3 linked regions of the Caenorhabditis elegans genome follow. The main gene of each other region encodes a partner of the protein of the gene in region 3 in a complex. Each region holds a gene or a part of one and is shown on either strand. Other genes may lie near its edges. The genes, in order: cif-1, eif-3.E and eif-3.I.

Region 1 (8,494 bases), on a different chromosome or scaffold from region 3:
AGTTCAAAATTTCGAAAATTTCAAGCTATGTTTAGCTAAGATCTTAAATTTTGCAAGAAAAAAATATCTGTTAGTCATTTTTTGCATTATTTTGAACAGAGACCACTAATCACAATTCTGTCTTATCACACCGAAAAATGTGGAAAAAGATGGAAATTTTGCATACGGAGCTTTCACTATCACTTAAATAATTACCTTCTGTTTGATAGACGTCTCAGGAATGAAAATGAAAAGTTTGGGAAAAAATGAGAGAAATTTGATTTGGACGGACGAATTTTTTTAAAAATTTTTTAATTCATTTAATTTTTTAATATTTATTTAAATATGATTTTAGTGCATTTCGTTCTGAATTTTTTAGTGAGGACTAAATACAATGAACTCAAAAAACTGAATTTCATAACGAGACTTTAAAAAATCGCTCAAAAAATAAATGACGGTTTTTGCTTAAAAATGTTTTGTTAGCTAAAAACCCACAACTTCGTCATTTTTTCTGTGTCCAAATTAGATTCAAATGCAACTAAATTATCGAAAACCCGTGAGAAAAACAATCCAAATATGCAGAAAATAGGACAATAATCAAATTAAAATCACTTTCTGAATTCTGCGAAACGGAAAAGGTGGCGAAATTGGAGGTTTTAGATTTAAAAAAAACCAAGCTATATTCAAGAATTTTTTAACCTCCATAAAAGTTTCGTTCTGAAATTCAGCTTTTTTGGGGCCATAAAACAACAATTTTGATCTGTTAGTCATCATTTAACATCACAAAATGTTCTTTTTTTCATCACCACTTAAATCGAAAGTATTTCCGAAGAACTGGTTTTTGTTTTGCTTTTATTGGGCGAAAACCTATAAACAAAAAAAAACAAGAGGATAACTTTCCGTTGTGCAAAATAAAGCTGTCAAAAAAGAAGAAGCTGCATAAGGAAATTGAGGAGCAGACACAACAAATTGAGAGTATTCAAAAAAAACGAAGAGAGGAGAGAAAAAGAGTGGACATACACACCGCCCGTGTTCAAGATCATCTCATCATCGAACGATCCACAGGAGGGTGATTAAGCACAGAACTTCACACAGTTCGCCCGGGGGTTTACCCCTTCTCTCATGCCTCTCGGCGTCTCGTCAATGTTTCATAACACTCTCACGGGCGGCTCGCTTTCGAGGGGCGCCCAGCAGCACCAATCGGCCAAAGACAGAGAGAGAGAGAGATAGAGAGATGGAGGGAAAAAGAGAGAAAAAACCAGAGAATATGACGCATTTCGGTGGAGGAGTAGGAGGAGTAGGAGAAAAAGAAACTGATGAACACAGGCTGCGCGGATACGCGTATATACACACATATACAAACTACTTTTGTATTAGAAATATGTTCTACTTATGAAGCATCACAGAACCTACAAAAATATCAGTTTGATTCTTTAATTTGAAGATGAAGTAAAATGATTGGAAATTTGGTTTTAAAAATTTCAAGAACATCTCAAAAAATGGTGTCATCGGAGAATGTTTCGACTTTTCTGGAATATTGAAAATCTAATTTTTTTTAGTTAATTAACATTAAAATACAATTTTTAACGAAGTTTGTTTGAATTGATAAAAAGAAAAACACTAAGATAACATATGTATTCGTCCAAAAAATGTTAAGATATTTTTTTGAAAAATCTGAATCATTAGATTTCAGTGAAAAATTGAAAAATCGACACCCTCAGACCCAAATTCAGAAAAATCACGATAGAGAAACAAAAAAAAACCGGAATTATGGAAAATCCAAATTCTTTTTGATTTTTCAATTTTGGTTAAATTCTCGTCAATGTGAGATATTCAACAAATCAGAGATTTGCGCCGCCCACTTTTCCACTAATCAGAGGGTTGAAGTAGCCGGAGCGAATCGCTGATTGGTCCCAGCTCTCACTTTCGGAGGGAATTCAAGCAGGAGTACCAAGTATTTTTTAAACATTCGCTTGAAAAAAAAGAATCTTTCATTCTTTACCGATTTTTTTCGTTTTTCTTTTGTGTATTTTCTGAATTTAAGTCAATTTTCGATTTTTTTGGAGCCAAATTTTCCAATCACGTAGCTTCAGCTTTTAAAATAATTTTGTAGATCATTTTTTTCGCATATTTTGGTACAATTACAGTCTATAGGCGCACGAATTTCCAATTTTTGTGCACCTATCGACTGAAAATGTACCAAAATCTGGAAAAAAAATGCGGCAGTAACTTCTAAAATGTGCAAAATAGAGAAGGCATGGTTTTTTTTTAAATATGACTCGAATTTTTTAAATTTAATTTCAAAAAGAATTTGAGAAAAAGGAAAATTAACTAAAATTCCCGTTTTCATTAGCAGAATTTTTGGACTTTTCTTCAAAAAAAGGCTAGTTTCTCCGAACTCTGAAAATTAAGAACAAAGATTGGCTTCGTCCGTCAAGTGACAAACATCTGATTATCATCGAAGCGGAAGAGACTAATCTCTTGTCCCTCCGGCTCCACGAGCATCAGTGTAAAGTGAGACGCCCGTGTGCTTATCGCATAACAAAAAAACAAGATAAAGCGACGGATAAATAGAAATAATCGGGTTTCGAAGTGAACAAAATCCATATTAAGTCAGAAGAGTGGGGAACATTTTCTTTTTTTAAATCAACAGTTTATGGGGAAATTTTTCAAGAGAGAGATAGAAATTATAGAGGAGGGAACCAACAAAACGGGGGACTTTCATGGGAAGAAAATACGATAGGGAGAACCAAAAACAAATATATTAAAAAGAACAGCGAAAAAAAAACAATTAGAGAGCCTCGATTCTCTGATTCACTTCATGGACGTTGTTGTGCGTTTGCTTCAGATTTGCGATGAGGACTTTCAGGCGTTTCTGGAAAAAAATCAATTTTTAAATGGAAACCCAACGAGTAAATATTATATACCTCGAGTAGAACCCATTGTTCCGTTCCGAATCTTCTGTGCTGGTAGGAGCTGACGATGAGAGTTCGGGCCATTTCATTGATTTTTCCGGAAATCGCGTTCACCTGAATCGCGTCGATCACAAATTCTTCGAGGGTCTCATCGGCAAGAATGTCCAATTGTTTGGCCAATTCGTCGAGACTGATTTCCTGAAAAATTCAGCAATTTTTATTTAATTCGGACGTTTCAAATGTTATATAGCCAACCGACGTTTCCATATGGGTCTCGCCACGCAAACAACGAGTTACTGTATCGTAACTTCACATTTTTGCAATATGGGTCTCGGCGCGCTAAAAATCCAATTTTTCAACGAAAATTCAACATTTTCGCATTCAAAGGTGTTCAAATAATTTTGAGCTTTCTCTAACTGAAAAATTGTTAAAATTCGAGATTTCGCTCTTTACAGAAATGGAATATTCAACATTTTCCACAAAATTATAGGTTTTTCGGGAGATTTCCTAGAGACGAGTTATTGTAATTTTAAGAGATTATGACAGGTTTTTAACCTAAAAATCCTCATTTTTGGCCGGGTTTTCATTCGGAAAAAGTCGTTTTTTAGTCTTAGAATCTGCAAATTTGCAGTAAAAAAGTGTGAAATTTTGGTTTTTTGTATTTTTACACTAAAATTTTTACGAAAATTGCATGTTTTTAACCTGGAAATCCACATTAATGGATGTTTCTCATCCGAAAAGTTTGCAATTTATAATTTTTAGCTTTACATTTCAGGTTTTCAGCTTAGAAGTGCTCTTGAATTTTGATTGGAAGGTAAATGAAAAATTTCTGCGAAAATAAAAAAAAAACATATAAGCAGTTCGTAATTCGAGCTACAGTAACTCGTTGTGAGCGTGGCGAGACCCATTTTCTCCTCTTTAATCGTCTATGTAATATCATTCGCCAAAGCCGTTATTTAGTCTTAAAATCTGTAATTTTGCAGTCGAAAAACGATAAAAATGTGTTATTTTGACACTAAAACTTTTCCCTTGAATCATAAATTTCAATAAAATTGCTGCCAAGATTTTCGAAACGAGTTACAGTAACTCGTTGTGAGCGTGGCGAGACCCAGTAATATCCAAACGTACGTTCTTCTCTTCAGCAAGCGACATGAGTGTCAAAAGACGGATCTTCTTGAGAAGAATAGTCTCGTCAACCTTCAAGTGCTCGGTGACAAATTTCGGATTCTTGGCAACAAATTCCTTATAATCCTTGAGAGTTCCAGAGATGAACAACTCGAGAGCTGTGAACATCAGTGGATCGGAAGTCTTCAACGCTTTGACTGCACTGAGTCGTTCGAGATGATCAAAGGAGAATGATTTCGGATCGACGACAGCAGTTCTAACACATTCCATAGCATCATCTCGTGCTGCGGCAGCGTCCTTTTCTGTGTATGTTCCGAGAAGTGCAGTCATAACCTGGAAACACTTTTTTAAAGGTTATGAGGACTTATGATTTTGGCGTTTTAGCTTGTATTGACTCAAAAAAAAATTTCGTGATTTGAAAAATTTCTCAAATTTCTACGGCGATTTAAATCTCTCTCGAAAAATTTCGCTAATTTCAGCTAAAATCTCTGATTTGCCAACTTCTCGTGTCCCAACGGTCAGAAATAAACTTATTTCGGTGGTTTTCGGTAATTTTTTGTTAAATTATGGAAACTTCAAATTATGAAGAAAAGGTTCAATTTTGGTCCAATCTTTGTTGTTTTAGACAAAAGTCGGTCCACTTTTTGGCCAACTTTACAGGCCATTTTCAGTAGAAATTTTGTCATTTTTGGTTTACTTTTCGCGCTTTTCGTTCAATTTAGTCATTTTAGCTCAATTTTTAGTGGAATTTGGCCATTTTGGTTCAATTTTGATCGAATTTTGTTCATTCTTTGGCGAAATTTTGGCATTTTTGTCCACTTTTGGGGTTTTTGGCCAAATTTTGAACATTTTGGTGACATCACCCTCAAATGTACCGCAAACAACAAAACAGTGTGAGATAAGAGACCAAGATTCAATAAAAACTGTGTTCAAGCCGCGAGACGGGACAGTTTGCAAAATTGAAGACTTTAGCAGAAATTAAGCAATATTTAACCGCCATAATTTTTTTAAAGGCAGTTTTTGTGTCTAGCTAAGTATAAAAACCGATAGTTCTTTATCAAACCCACCTTGGCAGCCTGATCAACTCTCTGATCAACAAGAAGTGCACGATGAACTGCTCTCAAGATCTCGCGTTGTCCCTCGACTGGCGTCTTCCATGTGTTGAATCTATCTTGAAGAGTCTCAAGATTGCATTCCAGCTCTCCAATGAGTCTTGCTTCAGCGCACATATCAACGAGCGCCTTGAAGATCTTCTCCTGTACAGTATGGAAGTTCGAGTATCCCTTGTACAAATTCGAGAGCACACGAACGGCGATTCCGGCGTGACTAGCCCATCCGGTTCCCTTGTAGAATTGTGGAGCAACATTCTTGATGAATGAGTCGACGACTGGCTCACACTTCTCGCCTGGCACAACGACGATAAGAGATGATATCGAGTTGAGCACCAGATCGACGTCCTGGGACCATGAAGGAAGCACGTTGAGAGTGGAGCAGATTTCGATCATGTTTTGGGCGGTCTCTGATGGTCCTGAAATTTTTTAAATCCAAATTCTGAAGCAGGGCTGTACCGCAAATCTTTTCTGAAAGTTTACGTATTTCCATGGGAGAAATTCTACAAAATGATCTATTGCATCATGTTGTTCTAACATTTTTCATTAAAAATAATGTGAAAACATAGAAAATCACTTTGTTTATCTGAAAATATCGTTGATTTTAGTTGAGAAATGGCAATTTGTAAGCAATTTTCAAATGCTTAAACTAAAATAAATACTATTTAAGGCCAAATCAATTGATTTTATATATTTTTAGAACAATTTAAATTTTAAAAAAAGTGGGAACAACATGGTGCGATAGGAAAATTTTGTAGAATTGCCGTTTCCACATGATATATTCAATTTTTTGAGAAAGAAATTGATACAGAAATGTTGAAAAAGAGTCGATCGACCTGAAAATGATAAAGATCCAAAAAGATTGGATTAATCCATAATTATTATATCGAAAAAATCAGCTTTACAAGTTTTCCGCACCATTTGGATCAAGCTTCACACTATCGTGCTTGTTGAGGTATTGACGGAGCTCTTGGAGCTGCTTGACATCATCAATGTAGGCGAAAACTGGAAGCTCACGAGTGTCAGCCATCTGAAATATTGTACATGCAGTTTAGAAAATATGGAACTGTGAACGAGCAAAAAGGAGAAATGCACATCAAACTTCAACTCATTCACCTTTATTTCGCGGCGCTATCAACCGTTGCGATCTTCTCAATGTGTCCTTTCCGAATCGCTTCCAGCTGTCTCTGGCTTCTTCTCAAATGATGCTCAATGAGCAACAGGTCACTTGGCTCGAAACGTGTTGCAGCGGCGCGGAACTCGTGCCGAATATGCGTGCGAATGCTCGGGTCACGGCCACGGGAGGCGCGCAAAAAATCACGGTAGGTGGAGAGAACGAGCTTTTGAAGTTTGCTGTGCACTACTCCTCCGCTCATGCGAATAGAGACGAGCCGAAAATTATTCAGGAATAAAATACAAAAAATATGCTTGGAAACGAGAAAAAGAGATATAATAAAGCGTAGAGAACGCCGAGAATATGACACCACAAATACAACAAAAAAATGAATATTTATTTTCATTATAACAACTAAAACTGAACCTATTCAAACCCATCGAACCAGCTGGTAACCTCGTTTTCCCCAACAAACAAGGGTGAGATCGGAGGCATTTTCCAGGAAAACGTCTGCTATTGATTCCGATGGAGATCTTTTCTTCTCTCCATTCACTGAAAATGCTCCTTGTTGCATCAAAAGATGACCTTTCCCACTGCCTAGTCGAGATGCGTCCGCGAGTTGGCCCATTGTTGCTACCTGGGAAGAAAAAGAATAAAATCTTCGACAACTAATTTTTTGATGCTTACATTCTCCTTTTTCAAGTCAATTGTTGTTCTGAATAATTGCAATACTTCACTTCTCGACAATCCCGATAAATCAGCCTTCTTGGCTCCAAACATTGCTTTTGTACACCGCATCGCCACTTCTAAACCTTCTTTTCCGTGCACAATTCGAGTAATTTCGGCGGCCAACTCCCTCTGAGCAATCCATTGTCCAAGATTGCTCCTATGATTCTTCAGAACATCTCTTATATGTTCGATATCTTGCAAACTGAAAAGTAACAGAAGCTCTTCCGCTTTGTCATCGTGAAGCTGCGCGAAGAACTGATAGAAATGGAACGGAGACGTCTTCGTCGCATCAAGCCACAGCGCACCTCCTCCTTCAGACTTTCCGAGCTTGGCACCAGTAGAATCCGTCAGAATCGGGAAGCATACTCCTGCAGCGAAGGCTTGATTCATCATTTTCTTAATATAGTGAGCTCCAAAGTCCAGGTGACCCAATTGATCATATCCACCAAGCTGGAATCGACATCCATACTTTTCGGATAACGTGTACCAGTCGAATGCTTGCATTGTTTGATAGCTGAATTCAGTGTACGATAATCCAACTTCCAGCCGATTCTTTATCGTATTCATTCGAAGCATCTTTCCGACTTGCATATTCTTGCATTCTCTCAGGAAATCTCGTAGACTAATCTGAAAAATATAACATTTTCTTTCTCATCATAGCAAGCCGAATGACTACCTTTCCTAGCCAATCATTATTGTTCACGATGATCGGCTTCTCGCTTGATCCCGGCGCGTTCTCAAAAATCTTGCAGATCTGATCTGTTACTTTCCTCGAGTTGTGCATAATTACATCGCCGGCCAGAAGACCCCGTTCTGAAGGTCATGATTTATTGAGTTTTCAGCGCTTTTCTAGGTAAAAACCTGATTTCTTTCCGCTCGGATCTCCAATACTGGCAGTGAATTCTCCGATCAATGCAATTGGACGTATTCCAAACTGCTGTGCACGAATTAAATTGACGAGAATCAGAAGATTTCCAATGTGAAGGCTCTCAGCAGTTGGATCGAAACCAGCATACACATAAGGTGGAAGCTGCCTGAAATTAAATGGATTATTTGCGGAATTTCGTAACATTCACAAGTTCAACCTCAAATCTTCGCTACATTTAGACAGCAGGTCCGTTGGATACGAGTGTTGCAGCTGTTTTCTCGCGTTTAAGTCGGTGATGTAATCCACGAATGAGCTTTCTCTGAAAAAAAACGAAAAATTAGAATAACCCACTAGCAATTGACTCACCGAGGTGCACGTACCGTTTTTAAGGCCACATTTCCGATTCGTTTGCTGTTGAACATTGTGTACTAGCGGTAGCTGCATAAAAATATAATAGAAATGATATTTTAGTAAAAGAAAATGATTAAAATCCCGTTTTTAGGGACCGCAGTTTCCACAAAACTCCGCGCGGTGGTCGGAGAAAATCCTCGGCCACCCGGCCACGAAAACTCGGCCATTTTGCATTTTCACCATTTTTCATTAATGCTCATTTAAATTGGTTTTCAGCCGAAAATGTGTTAGAAAACCAGCATCT
Region 2 (6,456 bases), 8.2 Mb from region 3:
GGCTGGAACATTTTCTGATTTTGGGGTGGTAACTTCGATTTCTTGTGATGATTGTGGTAGATCTGCTCCTGCAGTTGTTGCCTTTCCACGGCAGACTGTTCTGATCATCAGACTTCGTTTTAACCCGTGCATCTTGCAATTTCTGAAACAGGGCTGGTGAAGAATTAATGAAATATTGGAATTTCAAAAAACAAAGAAAGATAGAAAAATCACAGACTATGACAGTAAATGTAGCATTTCAGAAATATTTGTTTCAAATATTGTACAAATTTATTTAGTTCGAAAAAAGAAGAAAGCACGCTGAGGAAGTTGGAATTGAAAGGGAGATCAGTAGCAGGGCGTGTAAAACTGCGAATTTCAGTATAACAATCCAAGTTTTTAAAAAATTAAAAATTGATAAATATAGAAATGTATAAAACGGTTCACTTTTAATGAAAAGCTTGAGAAGACCTCTAAAAGTTTTTCTACGTTTCTAAATCAATTTTAGATCAAAAAGTGAATTATTATATTGAAATAAGCGGGTTTTGCACGTTTGCCTAAACACAACCCTGACCAGTAGTTGTTAGTGTCTGTGAGATCGTGTATTTGAAGAAGGTCCTCCAGAAGTTGAAGTAGGATTGCCGGGAGTAGCTGAAAATAAAATATTGACAATATTCCTCCAACAACTCATTGACCACCATAGAGATGAGCATTAGGAGATTCGGGAGAGTCAGAGGGTGTTGGAGATTCGTCATTGATTCCTTGCTGTGGTGTATCATAAGCGTTGAAGAGGAGTGGCGAATCATTGTCACCAGAACGAGAAGCTCGTGGACGTCGACCTACACGAGGTGGCATAACTCTCAACATTTCAGCTGATGAGACAGGGTTGACTGGCGTCGAAAGTGTTAGAGTTGGAGCAGCGACAGGAGTTCGAGCAGATGTTAAAGTCTGGAAATACGGAGAATAGCCATAAGATAAATATGAAAAAGTGAATAGAAATAAGTGTTCGAAACACCAACAACACAAAATTATGTCACCTGCACTTCAGTGAATGACATTTCACATCGATTCTAAAAGGTAATGTTTAAAACATTTAATTTAAAAAAAAAAATTACCGGTGCAATGGAAGTACGCGTGCACTCTCCCGTACTTGGTCCTGGAACGTCTCTGTTCTCTGAAAAAGCTAGGTTAGGAAAAATTAAATAAATCATCATCTCACTTCTATCCGCCGATCTGAGATTTCTCCTAGTTATGCCACGTGGAGGCTCACTCTGATCCATCGGCTCCATTTCGTCAATATCCATCATTTCGCATTTTGGCACGATCACAGCTGGAAGTACCCTCTTGTTCAGTTGATCTGTCAGCCATTGGATATCGTCCTCACACAATTCTAATTGTGTTAATGGACGCCGTAACATTGACATACTGAAAAAGAGTGAGATAAATTATTTAATTTCATAAAAACTGTGAATTGGCGAAAATGTGTATTTTTGGAGATTTAATTTTTAAACGGCAAAATCGAACCTATGGCTTAAATATTTCTGTAATTAGCGAAAAAGTAAGGCAAATTCAACAGAAATGACAAAATATACAGATGGAAGTGTTTTTCCTCACAAAAAATAATTTCAAACAATTTCTCGGCAACGGCAATAAATATATATTGAAAGGTTTCATAAACCTAGATTCTAACAATAATCAAACCATGATAAAAGAGAAAATATATTATTTTAACCAATTAGAACCGAACCTCCAGCCCCTGCACTAACGAAAGAAGGGTCAGAGACAACAAAAAGAAACAACAGGGATATAAGGAAAGTTTAGAAAAGACAGAATTCGAGTAGTCCTCGTAAAAAACCGAGGAGCTGAACAAATAAGAAAGAAAAATAATACTGAAAACTGAGAGATGACAGTCTTAATCTCCGTGTTTGCCACATCTCAATTTTCAGAACAGCATCAGATGAAGAAAAAGGAAAAAACATTCAAAACCGGAAGAACTTGTAAAGCCTAAGTCGCCTTGACTTTGTCTTGACGACCTTTTTCCAATTGAAGGGCGATTTGTTGAGCGCGGAGGGTCAATCTCTTCGTGTTTTCCATGACTTGCTCGTGGATGCTGACGGATTTGACACCCATCACCACTTGTCCCAACTTGCTGTCAATTTTAGCTCCTTCGATACGATACGTTCTGATCAAGTCAACAATCCAGCGTTCAGCTTCCTCTTGGCTCATATTCAATCGTCGTGCTAGCATTTCTATGGTAATGCACTGATGAATGCGGCAGAACATCTCGAAAATGAGAAGGCGTGCAGACTCGCGGAAATCTCCAAGGACAGCAGTCAGGAAGAAATCATTGGAGAGAACCTCTTCGCACTTTTGAAGCATCTCTTGAGCCTCGTCGAAATCATATTTGATGTAGAGACAGGTGAGGAAATCAGTGACGGGATCCTTGTAACTATGGCGTTCCTGTAGAAAAACAAATAATTAATCATATTTTCATATAGAAAATAGTTAAACTCACGATGTCAATGACCTTCACCAAATCTTTCAAGCTGTTCTTCTGGCGGCTTTTGCTGGTAACAACGGCAACAGCCAGATAGCGGAGCAAATGTGGCGCCAAAACTTGGATTGCATTCAAATAAGGTTGCTGGTTCAAGAACATTTCGATAATCTCATCACGCCCTTTTGGATAATTGTAGTAGACGAAAAGTGCCCAGTGCATAAGCCACGCACGTTGCGTAACAAGTTCCCATTCCGTGTCGAATGGATTAGCATCGATGTAAGCACGAAGTTTCAGCAAATCGTCACGAGCATGTTCCCATTCTTGGAGCAGAATTTCACTGGCCAACTTTCCGTAAAGAGCGTTCAAATAGTTTGGATCCGCTTGATTGACAAGGTTGCGGTAGTAGTAAAGGCACACGGATGCGACGGTGTAATTTCCGCATTCGTACATGAACTTGCTGTACTTGAAGAGGGTATCGACCATGTCTACTGTGAACTGCAAGAATTAAGATTATTTTCGAAACTGCAAAGCAAAAACGTACATTGTGGTTTTGAGTGAGATGCTCCAAAATACGGACATTTCCATCTCTTTCTCTGTTGTTATCCATCATTTCCTTGACTTCCGGTATTTCCAAAATGGCAACAACGGAGTCCACCTTGCTTTTCAGCTCATCTCTCTCCTTGATAATTTGCTTCTTCTTAGCCTCAATTGCAGCCGGAATAGGTTTTCCATTGTAGGTCTCTATAACACTATCAATCATATTGGTCTTGGTCAAAAGCTGGCGGTGCATTTCGGTCAGGGATTTCTCATCGTAAATCTGCAATTATCATTGATATAAATAAATTCAGCTATTTCAGAATCAACAATTTATTGTTTAAATCTTACTCCTCGTGGTTCGATGAACTCCAAGAGCGGAATGATCAAATGAAGATCGAGAAAAGGCGCCATGCGCTGAGTCAGGTCGAATGTCGACATTTTTACCTGTAAAATAAGCGTATTAGTATAGTAATATGTTCTAATAAAACTCCAATCAATTTTCTTAACGGAAAACATAAATAAAACAAAAACAATGAAATTGCAGAAAGAAAATCGAGAAATTAGGAGAAATTCGCCGGGAAAGGAGGAAATGATAAACAACGCGCGCTATGGAATATCGGAGTGTCGTTGCTACTGCCTGCCAACACGAGCCACCAGCGAAATGAGAACTGCGAGAAGTAGAACTACGAGAAGAATAACCGAAAACTGCAATTTGCGACATTTGAAAAATATTTCGGAGTTTTTTGGTTCTAAAATTTCAGTTAAAAGTTTTTTAATTTAAAATATTCAAATTGAGAAATTACGAACGAATCATAATGTTCCTGGGATTAGGAAGAGTTACAAGATATTAAGACCCGAGCCCGTATCGAGACCCACCCCGAAAAACATTGTGTGGCTTTAAAGCAATGCTTAAATATTGTAATTGTGAAATGTCAGTTTAAAATCACATATTAATTTTTCGAGTGGGTCCCGCAACGATCTCAATAATAGTGTGCCAAATTTTACCGATGTGTCAGAGACACAAGTTTTATGAAATTTCAAATTTTGAAATGCACAGAAAAGCGAACAGTAAAATTTAGAATGCTTTATTATTAATTTTTGGGAACAGACGAGACCGTAAATTCATGTGGTGTCAGGTTGCCCCATTTCGGTTTGATCAACATTAAATTCGGGTATTTGATGTCAGGAGGAATGCCGAATCTACGAAGAATACGATTCAATTCATATGGACCTCAAAACTATGAAGGAGTAATGCATCGAATTATTCACAGACCGTGGAATGGAAAGCGAAGACCAAAAGTGTTCAAGTGAGAATATAAATTATTTGTCGTAGAGCTGGCGAGTGGGCTACATGAAGAGCCCTGATTCTTGAGGGTAGTGTGCCACCCAGTTGAAACAAAACCTGACTATATAGTTTGACTTGTGGGTCTTGGTTACACATATTGTTTCTAAAGATCTTGACATACCGTATTTCCTCTATTAGTTCAACAGACTACTTTACTTTGAAAGGTTATATCTCGGTTCATTTCAAAGATATCATAAAACTATTAACTACAAAACGATATAAAAAGAACTACCAAATATTTCATCAGTTAATTATTTTTGAAAACAACCGAGATATAAGCTCTCAACCGTGAACGATGGGGTGCCATACTAATTGAAGAAATTCTTGCTACCTATCTACTGTAGAGATTAAAGGAAAAAAGCTAAATTATTTTATTTGAAAAATAATAACATTCAGATACAAAATAGACGAATTGGATTGTACACTTGGATGGGATATTGAGAGCGACGATGGACAAATTGCAACCGTCAATTTTATCGAAGAATGCCTTGATTTTGTTGTATGGAAAAACGATAACTATTAATTCAATTTAAGCCAGTTGCTGTTATGTCAGAATACACTGAAATTGACCAAGATATCAAAATAAAAAAGGCAAACAATTTTTAGATCTCAATTTTCAAATAACCGCTAAAATTTGTTCAAAACTGTTTTGGTAGATTTCCAGCTGCCAAATCTTAACTTTTTGGGTGCAAACAGTTTTTTTTTCAAGTTGGAATGTTATATTTTGATATTTGGGTCTTTTCGAATTTTTAAAAATGTCCCCCACTAGCACTACTCCATTTTACCCTCTGTTTTATAAATGTATATGTTATTCAATTACTCTCAAATTATCATATTATTTATATTTTCATTCTAATCCATGCTTTTTCAAAGACTTCATTTTAAAGAAACCTATAATATTATCGAATCCAGATTATAGGAATTAGGCATGTTATGAGGTGTGTAACAGGCGCCAGAAAGCAAATAGTTAGTAGCGAACATTTTTATTTCCCGATAAAATGTTAATTAAACATTTTCAACAAAGAAAATTTACGGAGAAATCAAGGAAAAATCGAAAAAAAAGTGACCTTTCGTGAAACGTGAAAATGTCTTGATGAACTGATGAATCGAGAAGAAAAATCTATTAATCAATATTCATCGAACCAAAATCGACCAATTTCGCAGTATTTTGAATTCATATTTCTCTGGCAAATTGTTGAAATGGCAACGGAAAACAATACAGGTAAGAATTTTATGCAGATTTTCAGAGAAAATAACTAATTTTCAGATGTTTCTGAGAACCAAGAAGAACCTGATGAACTGAGTCCAAAAACGAAAGCTTTTGCTCCAACACTCGAGAAGGTCTGGAAGCTCAAATTTGAGAAAGTTCTCGGTAATCATTTGGAAATTAATTCCAATTTATAATTCATTAATTTACAGGTAGTGGCTCCTATTCCCGTGTGGCACGCGCAACTTTCGGAGAGAAAAAGCTCGAAGTTGCAGCGAAAATCATCAACATTACGCCAACTCGTGAAAAAGAGGACTACATCAAAAAGTTTTTGCCACGTGAAAAAGAGATTGTCAAGCTCTTGAAACACGATAATATTTGTCGTTTGTACGAGATGATTTCATTTCAAGATCACATCATCTTCGTCAATGAGTACTGTGCTGGAGGAGATTTGCTCCGTAAAATGAAGGATATCGTGGCAATGAAAGAGGAAGATGCAAAGTTCACATTTCGTCAACTTATTGCAGCACTTACTGTAAGTTTTATATCAGAAAACTGTTTTTCTTAAATTTATAAATTCAGCATCTGCAATCCTATAACATTGTGCATCGGGATCTCAAATGCGAAAATATCTTTATGGATAAACATGGAAATGTGAAGCTCGGCGACTTCGGATTCTCGAGAATTCTGAAACCGGGTGAAAAATCTGGAACATTCTGTGGATCGCGAGCATATGTGGCTCCAGAAATTTTTCGTGGCAGAGAATATTCTGGAAATGCAGTTGACGTATGGAGTACTGGGGTCATTCTCTACATAATGCTGGCTGGATCAATGCCATTTGATGATCGTGACCCAAGGAAAATGATCGAGAGACAGTTGGCACATAAAATT
Region 3 (8,438 bases):
AAATTATCTTTTTCGATTAAAAAAGATCGGCTTTTTTGCGACAAAAATGCTGTGATAAGCTTCTCTTTTCACTTTTTCTGTATGAAATTCTGCAAAAACTTGCCAATTTTATGTCAGAAAAATTGTATTTCAGCCGGAGAGACCAAAATTGGTCCAAAGTACGGTACCCGGTCTCGACACGACAATTTTTTGGTAAATACAAACGGGTGTGCGTCTTTAAGCGATTACTGTAATTCCAAATTTTCGTTGCAGCATGGAATTTTCTTTTTTTTTCGGTTAAAATTTGAGTTTCATCTCAATTTTTTAATCAACAAAAATATAAATTCCACTCCACTACAACAAAAATTCAAAGTTACAGTACTCTTTAAAGGCGCACAGCCATTTGTATTGAACAAAAATTGTCGTGTCGAGACCGGATACCGTATTTTATGGCCAATTTTGGTATTTTGGTGTGAAATACCAATTTTCTGACTTAAAATTGACCAGTTTTTGCAGATTTTCATATCAAAAAAGTAAAAAGAGAAGCTTATCACCGCATTTTTGTCGCAAAAGAGCCGAACTTTTAAATTTTAATCGAAAAAAGTCATTTTAGAAGTTTTTTGGACGAATTTCATGCAAATTTTTGAAAATTGAGAGTTATTTTCCAAGAAAATTGAGTTTTAAGGCACGGAAAAATTAGTTTCTGGATTTTTTTTAGTGTTAAAATTTGAGAATAAATTTTTAAGCAAAAATTGAGATTTTGGGAAATTAATCGAATTCTTAGACGTGGAAAACGTGTTTAAATTGCCGATTTTTCCGTGTTCCTATTCAATTAATGAACCATTCCGGAATTATTTCAATTTTCCGGGCGAAATCCCTCACATTTGTGCAAACTCTGCACAAATCCTTGACATTTCGTGTCTGAGTAGCCGAAAAGAGCAGCGTCTGACGTTCCGCGGGCAAATTATTAATGATCGAGTTGAGCTGCTTCGAGAATCCCATATCAAGCATTCGATCCGCCTCGTCGAGCACCAAAACTTGAAGCGAATCACAGCTCATTTGAGCATTCTCATCCATGTGTTGTAGGAGACGTCCCGGTGTGCAAACGATGATATTAATCCCGCTGATGCGATTTCTCTCGAATGCCACGTCACTTCCGCCGATAACCAAGCCACACGAGAATCCGTGATGGGCTCCGACGGCGTTAATTGTGCTAAATGTCTGAAGAGCCAGCTCTCGTGTCGGTGAAATGATTAGCGCTCCGAGACCATAGTCTGGAGACCATTTTGCTCGCCAAAGAGCCTCCAGCACGGGGATCACCAGTGCCAGAGTCTTTCCGCTGCCGGTTTTTGCGGCTCCGACGACATCTGAGCCGGTCAGAGAGTAGGCAATCGTGTCCCGTTGGATTTCTGTGGGTTTTGTGTAGTCATTATCCTTGAGACCCTCCAGTGTCCTCCAGGAGAGCGGGAAATCCTCGAAGCGGAGAAATGTGCGGGAGCTTTTCTGGAAAAATCGATTTTTTAATAAAAAAACTATTTTTTAGAGCTACCTTGAGCATTTCCTGATATTTCTGCTCAACTTCGTCGAGCATTGTCTCCTCCTGTCCCTTTAAATCCTGTTTTCTCTTTTTCAGAAGCCGCTTCTCCTTCAACGCTTTTCTGACACTTGGATCCTGCTCGCCATCGAAATTTCGTTTTCTTTTATTATTTCCAGCCCATTTCTGTGCTCCGCCGCCTTTTCCGTTTGTGTGAGGCATTGAAAACGCTGAAAATTGGGTAAAAATATTTAAAAATTGCAGGAAAAATCGTGCGCGGCAGTTGCGAAAAAAGCGTGCCAGGGTTGCATTCTGACTCCGCCCACAATTTTTCTTAATTTTTAATTGAGAAAAAATTAATTTTTTTTAAAAATATAATAATTGGAGATTAAAACCAAGAAATTCGAGGGAATAGATCAATTTTAACTCAAAATAATATTTATTTATGAAAAAAAAAACAATTAAAAGCCACCGAAAATTGATCTTAAATATGGAAAAAATGGAAAAAACAGAAAATCACCACCGCGTAATTTTAGAATTTGATAAATTTTAAAGGTTTTCCGAACTGCATAGGCTTAAATTCGTCATTTAAACTCTAAAATTAGGCGGTTTTCAACAGGAACGAGTAGGAAAAAGGGGGAAACGGTCTTTTTTTGGCAAATACGATCGCCCGGGAAACAGGAAGAAAACGAAAACGTAGAACAAATTAAAAATCGTAGGTGAAGCCGAGGTAGTCCTCGTCGAACTCTTGAATTCTGATGTAACCTGGAAAAAAATCAATAATTTTTGAATTTTTATATGAAAAATCCTCAAATCGCACTGCAACTTTTTTTTGAACGAGGGACGAGGAAATGCGGTTTCTAGGCCATGGCCGAGGATCCGACAAGATTTATCGGCAATTTATCTTGCAATGTTTTCCGCGAGTTTTCTTTTATTTTTCACCGATTTTTCCCCCGTTTTTTTCTTATTAAAACTGATAAATAAATTTTTTTAAAACCAGATGCTAAAATAATTTCCAAGTGAAAAAAATTGTGAATTCAGCCGGCAAGTAGCGGTGAAAGTGGTCAATGTAATATGATGGATTACGGGAATACTAAACACTAAACTTTTTTCGAAACATGATACATATGCTGCTTAGAGGCTGAAACTACCTGATTTTAATAACGAGACCGCTGAAAAAGTTTTTTGAGATTTTCAAAATTCAACATTTTGTGGAAAAATCTCGACTTTTTCGCCAAAAAGGTTGAATTTTGAAAATCTCAAAACTTTTTCAGCGGTCTCGTTATTAAAATCAGGTAGTTTCAGCATCTAAGCAGCATTTATAGCATGTTTTGGAAGAAAGTTTAGGTTTAGTATTCCCGTAATCCATCATATTACATTGACCACTTCCACCGCTACTTGCCGGCTGAATTCACAATTTTTTCACTTGAAAATTATTTTAGCATCTGCAAAAACAATATTTCTTCATCAGTTTTAATAAGAAAAAACGGGGGAAACATCGGTGAAAAATAAAAGAAAAAACGCGGAAAACAAAGCAAGATAAATTGCTGATAAATCTTGTCGGATCCTCGGTCATGGCCTAGAAACCGCATTTCCTCGTCCCTCGTTCAAAAAAAAAGTTGCAGTGGAATCCCCATACCGTCTTCTCCTCCAGTCGCGATAATTGTGCCCGATGGATGCCAGGCCATCGTGTTAATCGGTCCGAAATGTCCCTTGAATCTGGCGAATTCCTCTTCGAACACCATATGATAGATCTTGGCTTCAAAGTGTCCAGCAGAGACAGACGTCTGTGTGACCTGCATCGCGTCTTCTCCTCCTCCAAGGCAAATGTGATCGCGATTCGGTGAGATGCATGCCGAGTTGACGGGACGCTCGGATTTGTATTGTTTCAGCTTTTTCAGATCGTTCACGTCGAGCAGGGCGGCCGTCTTGTCGCGTGAAGCGGAGATCAGGAAATCGCCGCGTGGTGATAGTTGGAGATCTTGGACGCTGTACTGAAATTTTGGGAAATTTTTTTTTTGAAATTATTTTAGAAATCACGGAGGCACCACGGATTAAAGATCTCGTCGAATTCCGGATCTGGCACCGTGCCAACTGCAGTTTTCGCAGTTTTCTCGAAGAAAAATGTGGTTTTTTTTTAAATTTTCTTCAGGAAAAACGCTAAACAACACGCGATGCGTAACATCGGAGCATCGTTGTCAGGATTTTTTCCAGAAAAATTGCGTTAATTTTTTTTGAGTTGGTACGGTGCCAGATCCGGAATTCCACAAGATCTTGAATTTCGTGGAGCCTCGGTCTTATAATCATTGGAGCGCGCTTGCTGACACCTCACGAACTCCCGAATTCGCGGAATTTTGTTTCCACGGGAAATAAGGTTTTTTTGCTAATTTTGGTTTCTATGGAAATTAATATAAATTTTTGATGGATATTGTTGTTGGGAAGCTTTATACGACTCGAAAACGCGTAAAATTTAAGGTTTTACATCAAAAATCGGGAGTTTTTTGATTTCAGAATTTTAAAATATACATTTTTTGTAGAGAAAAATACAGTTTTAATTGATTTAATTGGTTTTTTCATTGAAAAAAATTAGAATAATCAAAATAATCAATCACTGCCGGATTTTGCTGCTTTTTCTCTTCAAAATGAGATTTTCACGGCTTTCAAATCGAAAAAACTGCCGATTTTGTTCCATTTTTCGAGAAAACTAAATTATTTCTTCGAATTTTTGGTTTTAATCTTGTGTGCGGAGTCAGGATGCAACCCTGGCACGCCTTCTTCGCAACTGTGCCGCGCACGGTTTTTTAATGCGAAATTTCGCCAATTTTCCAAATTGTACACACTTTCGGCTCTAATAATGTTTCCCCACAACAATAAAAACCAAAAATTAGCAATAAAATTTCCGCCAATTCAGGAGATCGTAAAGTGTCAGCAAGCGCTCCAGAGAACAACGAAAAAATGACGAACACGATGAACACTCTCGTTAGTGTGAATTGGTGTATCCGGATTTCTCAAATCGTACTGCTGAAGGAGTCCAGACTCGAATCCGATCGTCACGAGGTCATCCATCTGAGTGAAAAGTGCGGTCGTGGCGTTCACATCGAATTGTGAGTAGAAGAATGACTCTCCACCCTCAACCATTTGACTTGAATCACGAAGATCTCGGACTTGGAACGTCGAGAGATTCTTTGTCATCTTTTGTGTGGTGAAGCACACCAAATTTCCTGAATACGAGAATCCGCACGACTTCATCGGAGTCTGATGGTTGATTGTGTAGAGGCAGTTGCCGAGCTCGGCATCCCAAATCTTCACGGTGAGGTCTCCGGACGCGGTGACACACTTGGTAGTGTCCCATGAGACGTCGATATCCCACACGGCTCCGTTATGCCCGTCGTAGCTACCTGAAAAGAAAAATAATAAATAAATATATTTAAAAGGTGGAGTAGCGTCAGTGGGAAAATTGCTTTAAAACATGCATATGGTACCACAGTGACCGAATATCATGATTAAAAATTTCAAAAAAATTTTCTAAATTTTATATGATTTTTTGAAAAATTGAAAAAAATCTCAGTTTTTGCCTAATTCCAATTTTAATTACCGCCAATTGGATTTGTTCGATGGAGCGCGCTTGCACGTTTTAAAATTTATTTATTTTATTTTTTGTTATTTTCCAACGATTTTTAATGTTTTCGATGTATTTTTGCTTGAATTTTAGAGAAAAAGTCAAAATAATTGCAAATTTTCGATTAAAAAGCACGCTTAGAGGCGTAAAAAATGAAAAGTAACGCTTTTAAACGATTTCGAACCTGAATTAATAAATTTCACTGATTTACGCCTGTAAGCGTGCTTTTTAATTGAAAATTTGCAATTCTTTTGACTTTTTCTCTAAAATTCAAGCAAAAATACACCGAAAACATTAAAAATCGGTGGAAAATAACAATAAATAAAATAAATAAATTTAAAAACGTGCAAGCGCGCTCCATCGAACAAATCCAATTGGCGGTAATTAAAATTGAAATTAGGCAAAAACTGAGATTTTTTCAATTTTCAAAAAATCATATAAAATTTAGAAAATTTTTTTGAAATTTTTAATCATGATATTCGGTCATTGTGGTACCATATGCATGTTTTAAAGCAATTTTCCCACTAGCGCTACTCCACCTTTAATTCTGCGAAAATTTTTCGCGAAAATATTCAAAAATACCGATTCTCTCTCCATTTTCAGTATACCAAACGCATGGCTTCTTGTCCTTAGCACAGGAGAACGTCAAATCTCCCTCACGATTGAAACGGACCCGAGTGAGAGCACGTTCGTGGCCTTTCAGCGAAAGTGGACGCATTTCTGAAAGAAATCCCCTATTTTTGAAGGTTTCTGCGAGAAATTGGTGGAATATTCGGCAGTTTTGATTATAAAATGAATTATTGGCTTAATTATTAATAAATTCCATTAAAAAAATGAAAATTAGAAGCCAGAAAACATGGGAAATATTCGAAAAATAAGCGAAAAAACAACAAGAAATAGGATTTGGCTCAACCTCCGCAATTTGGCGTGACAGTGTTTGCGGACTTGCGTACCGTACCCCCGCGCAGAATAATCGACATCAGCTGACGAAATTTCGATTTTCAGCAATTTTCAGCAATTTCGAGTGGTTTTCAGTAGTTTTCAACAATTAAAAAGTGAATTTTATCAAATTTTTAGCAATATATTAATTAAAAACTCAAATTTTAACATGTTCCACCACAAATAACTGCTAAATTTCGCAACTCTCAATTCTCATCGATTTTTTTGCGAAAGCTTCACCGAATCCAGTTTTCAGAGATCGATAATGTTACAATTACGACTAATAGCTGGCCTACGGAACGCGTCAAACACTATCAGATCGCAGGTATCGTTAAAAAACCCGAGAATTTCCGGTAAAATATTGATTTTCAGGCAGTTTACCGCAGTTTCTCGTCACTGACAAAATCACCAGCACTCATCAGAAATGCCACACAGATTCTTAGTAAAAATGTGGGGTTTTGCGATAATTTGTTGAAAAAAACGTTTTAAAATCCTTAAAAAACATTTTATAGAAATTTCCATGAATTTTTAGGTTAAAAATATGTATTTTCACATTTTTTAAAGCTAATTCCAGAAATTTTTGCCTCGAAAAAGTTAATTTTTAGCCAATTAGAGCGAAAAATAAGCTTGTGGTCTCGAAGCGAAAACTACAGTCTCTAAAGTTAGAATTAAATTTTGCTATGCGCCTTTAAAGCTTTTACGGTAGCTGAGATATCGATTTTTCTCTTTTATAAATTAATTTTTTTCTGAATTTTCTTCAAAAAATTCCATTTTAGGCCTAATATATATCGAAATTTTCACTTTTTCTGCTCAAAAAATATATAATTTCTAAAAAAAAAAGCAGTTTATTTTGAAAAAAAAAACAGAAATTTGTGAAAAAGTTGCTGGAAAGCACCACTGGAACGTGGGAATCTTTCCAGAACTGGAAAAATCTAGCATTTTTCTTAAGAAAAGTCCAGTTTTTCGGGGAAAATTGGATTTTTTCACCTTAAAATCATTTTAAAAAAATGCTTAAAAATCAACAAATGGAATCTGCGAAAATTGGATTTTACCTCGAAAAATATGATTTTCAGTAGAATTTTAATGGAAAAATTGAATTTTCCGTTGAACTTCGTTCAAAGTAGCAACTTTCCGTGCTTAGAATCGTATTTTTAAGCAAAAATACGATGAAATAGCACGTTTTCCAGGAATTGTGTTGTCGCAAGCTTCAAACAATTCTCAAAAATCACAAATTTGAGATGAAGCTCGGAAGCTCCAAAGGAACTTGGAAAGTTGCATTTTTCATCCGAAAAACCCAGTTTTTTGGTGTAAAATTAGGTTTTTACACCCTAAAATCATGAAAAAATGCTCAAAAATCAACTTTATTAGCTCAAAAAGCACCAAAAACGTGTCCCAAATTCGAAAAAAGACATTAAAAAATCAATTAATTCTTCTTCTGAGCTTCTGATCCGAACTCAAAACTGAGTTCTCCTTCGTTATTCTGCTTACATTTCACATTTTGTCCATTATCAAGTTGTCCACTGGCATTCAACTCTAACAGCTCATCGGAGCAAACGAAACCTGCGGTTTACCTCGAAAAATATGAATTTCAGTGGAATTTTAATGGAAAAATTGAATTTTCCGTTGAATTTTGGTCAAAATAGCGATTTTTCGAGCAAAAAATCGTATTTTTAAGCTAAAATACGATGAAATAGCACGTTTTTCAGAAATTGTGCAGTTTTGTTCAATCGGAAGCTTTAAATAATTCTCAAAAATCACAAATTTGAGATGAAGCTCAACTGCTTAAGCTAAGGCTTAGGCTTAGGCTTTTCTACTCCACGGGAACATGAGAATACCTCCACAAGTGGAACAATTTTGCGTTTTTTCCCAGTTTTTTTTGGTGAAAATTCGATTTTTCTACCTTAAAATCATGAAAAAATGCTTAAAAATCAACTTTATTAGCTCAAAAAGCTCAAAAACGTGTCCCAAATTCGAAAAAAGACATTAAAAAATCAATTAATTCTTCTTCTGAGCTTCTGATCCGAATTCAAAACTGAATTCTCCTTCGTTATTCTGCTTACATTTCACATTTTGTCTATTATCAAGTTGTCCGCTGGCATTCAACTCCAACAGCTCAAGCCCCGCCTTCTTATTGAGCACACAACCAATCGGAGCAAACGAGATGTATCCATTGCTCATCTCACATTTATATCTGAATCCGACGGCATTATTCTTGTACATTCGATCGATTGTCTCCTCGTTCTTCACGAATTGCGATTTCTCGTCCTGTTCCCAACTGGCAAAGCATCCGGCTGTCTCGTATTTGCTCACACATGCCTCGTAGTAACTTCCCTTGCCGATTCGGCGCCGGTTTCCGAGATCACAGTC

What was found.
Region 1: eif-3.I (region 3) and cif-1 share a complex: the UniProt entries of both Caenorhabditis elegans proteins name them as parts of the eukaryotic translation initiation factor 3 (eIF-3) complex.
Region 2: eif-3.I (region 3) and eif-3.E share a complex: the UniProt entries of both Caenorhabditis elegans proteins name them as parts of the eukaryotic translation initiation factor 3 (eIF-3) complex.

What each region holds. Positions count from the first base shown.
Region 1 is NC_003282.8:4,704,236-4,712,729, forward strand, and holds cif-1 (COP9/Signalosome and eIF3 complex-shared subunit 1), read right to left. Parts: upstream 6,521-8,494; 5' UTR 6,245-6,520; intron 6,159-6,244; coding exon 6,047-6,158; intron 5,548-6,046; coding exon 5,087-5,547; intron 4,353-5,086; coding exon 4,023-4,352; intron 3,093-4,022; coding exon 2,907-3,092; intron 2,855-2,906; coding exon 2,771-2,854; 3' UTR 2,619-2,770; downstream 1-2,618. Other genes in the region: yars-2 (Tyrosine--tRNA ligase), read right to left, coding at 6,673-6,879, 6,930-7,598, 7,648-7,784, 7,833-8,005, 8,057-8,158, 8,206-8,261. UniProt on the Caenorhabditis elegans protein: Component of the eukaryotic translation initiation factor 3 (eIF-3) complex, which is involved in protein synthesis of a specialized repertoire of mRNAs and, together with other initiation factors, stimulates binding of mRNA and methionyl-tRNAi to the 40S ribosome.
Region 2 is NC_003279.8:10,638,825-10,645,280, forward strand, and holds eif-3.E (Eukaryotic translation initiation factor 3 subunit E), read right to left. Parts: upstream 3,458-6,456; 5' UTR 3,452-3,457; coding exon 3,362-3,451; intron 3,294-3,361; coding exon 3,018-3,293; intron 2,972-3,017; coding exon 2,495-2,971; intron 2,440-2,494; coding exon 1,984-2,439; 3' UTR 1,699-1,983; downstream 1-1,698. Other genes in the region: mrps-30 (Mitochondrial Ribosomal Protein, Small), read right to left, coding at 1-132; cdc-26 (Anaphase-promoting complex subunit CDC26), read right to left, coding at 563-630, 675-927, 1,095-1,153, 1,199-1,403; B0511.17 (DUF4283 domain-containing protein), read left to right, coding at 4,205-4,320, 4,755-4,881; tag-344 (Protein kinase domain-containing protein), read left to right, coding at 5,460-5,580, 5,626-5,730, 5,778-6,100, 6,148-6,456. UniProt on the Caenorhabditis elegans protein: Component of the eukaryotic translation initiation factor 3 (eIF-3) complex, which is involved in protein synthesis of a specialized repertoire of mRNAs and, together with other initiation factors, stimulates binding of mRNA and methionyl-tRNAi to the 40S ribosome.
Region 3 is NC_003279.8:2,483,281-2,491,718, reverse strand, and holds eif-3.I (Eukaryotic translation initiation factor 3 subunit I), read right to left. Parts: upstream 5,859-8,438; 5' UTR 5,851-5,858; coding exon 5,715-5,850; intron 4,912-5,714; coding exon 4,478-4,911; intron 3,508-4,477; coding exon 3,153-3,507; intron 2,279-3,152; coding exon 2,220-2,278; 3' UTR 1,932-2,219; downstream 1-1,931. Other genes in the region: ddx-10 (ATP-dependent RNA helicase), read right to left, coding at 862-1,482, 1,529-1,735; Y74C10AR.2 (Conserved secreted protein), read right to left, coding at 8,067-8,438; abtm-1 (Iron-sulfur clusters transporter ABCB7, mitochondrial), read left to right, coding at 6,337-6,396, 6,444-6,521. UniProt on the Caenorhabditis elegans protein: Component of the eukaryotic translation initiation factor 3 (eIF-3) complex, which is involved in protein synthesis of a specialized repertoire of mRNAs and, together with other initiation factors, stimulates binding of mRNA and methionyl-tRNAi to the 40S ribosome.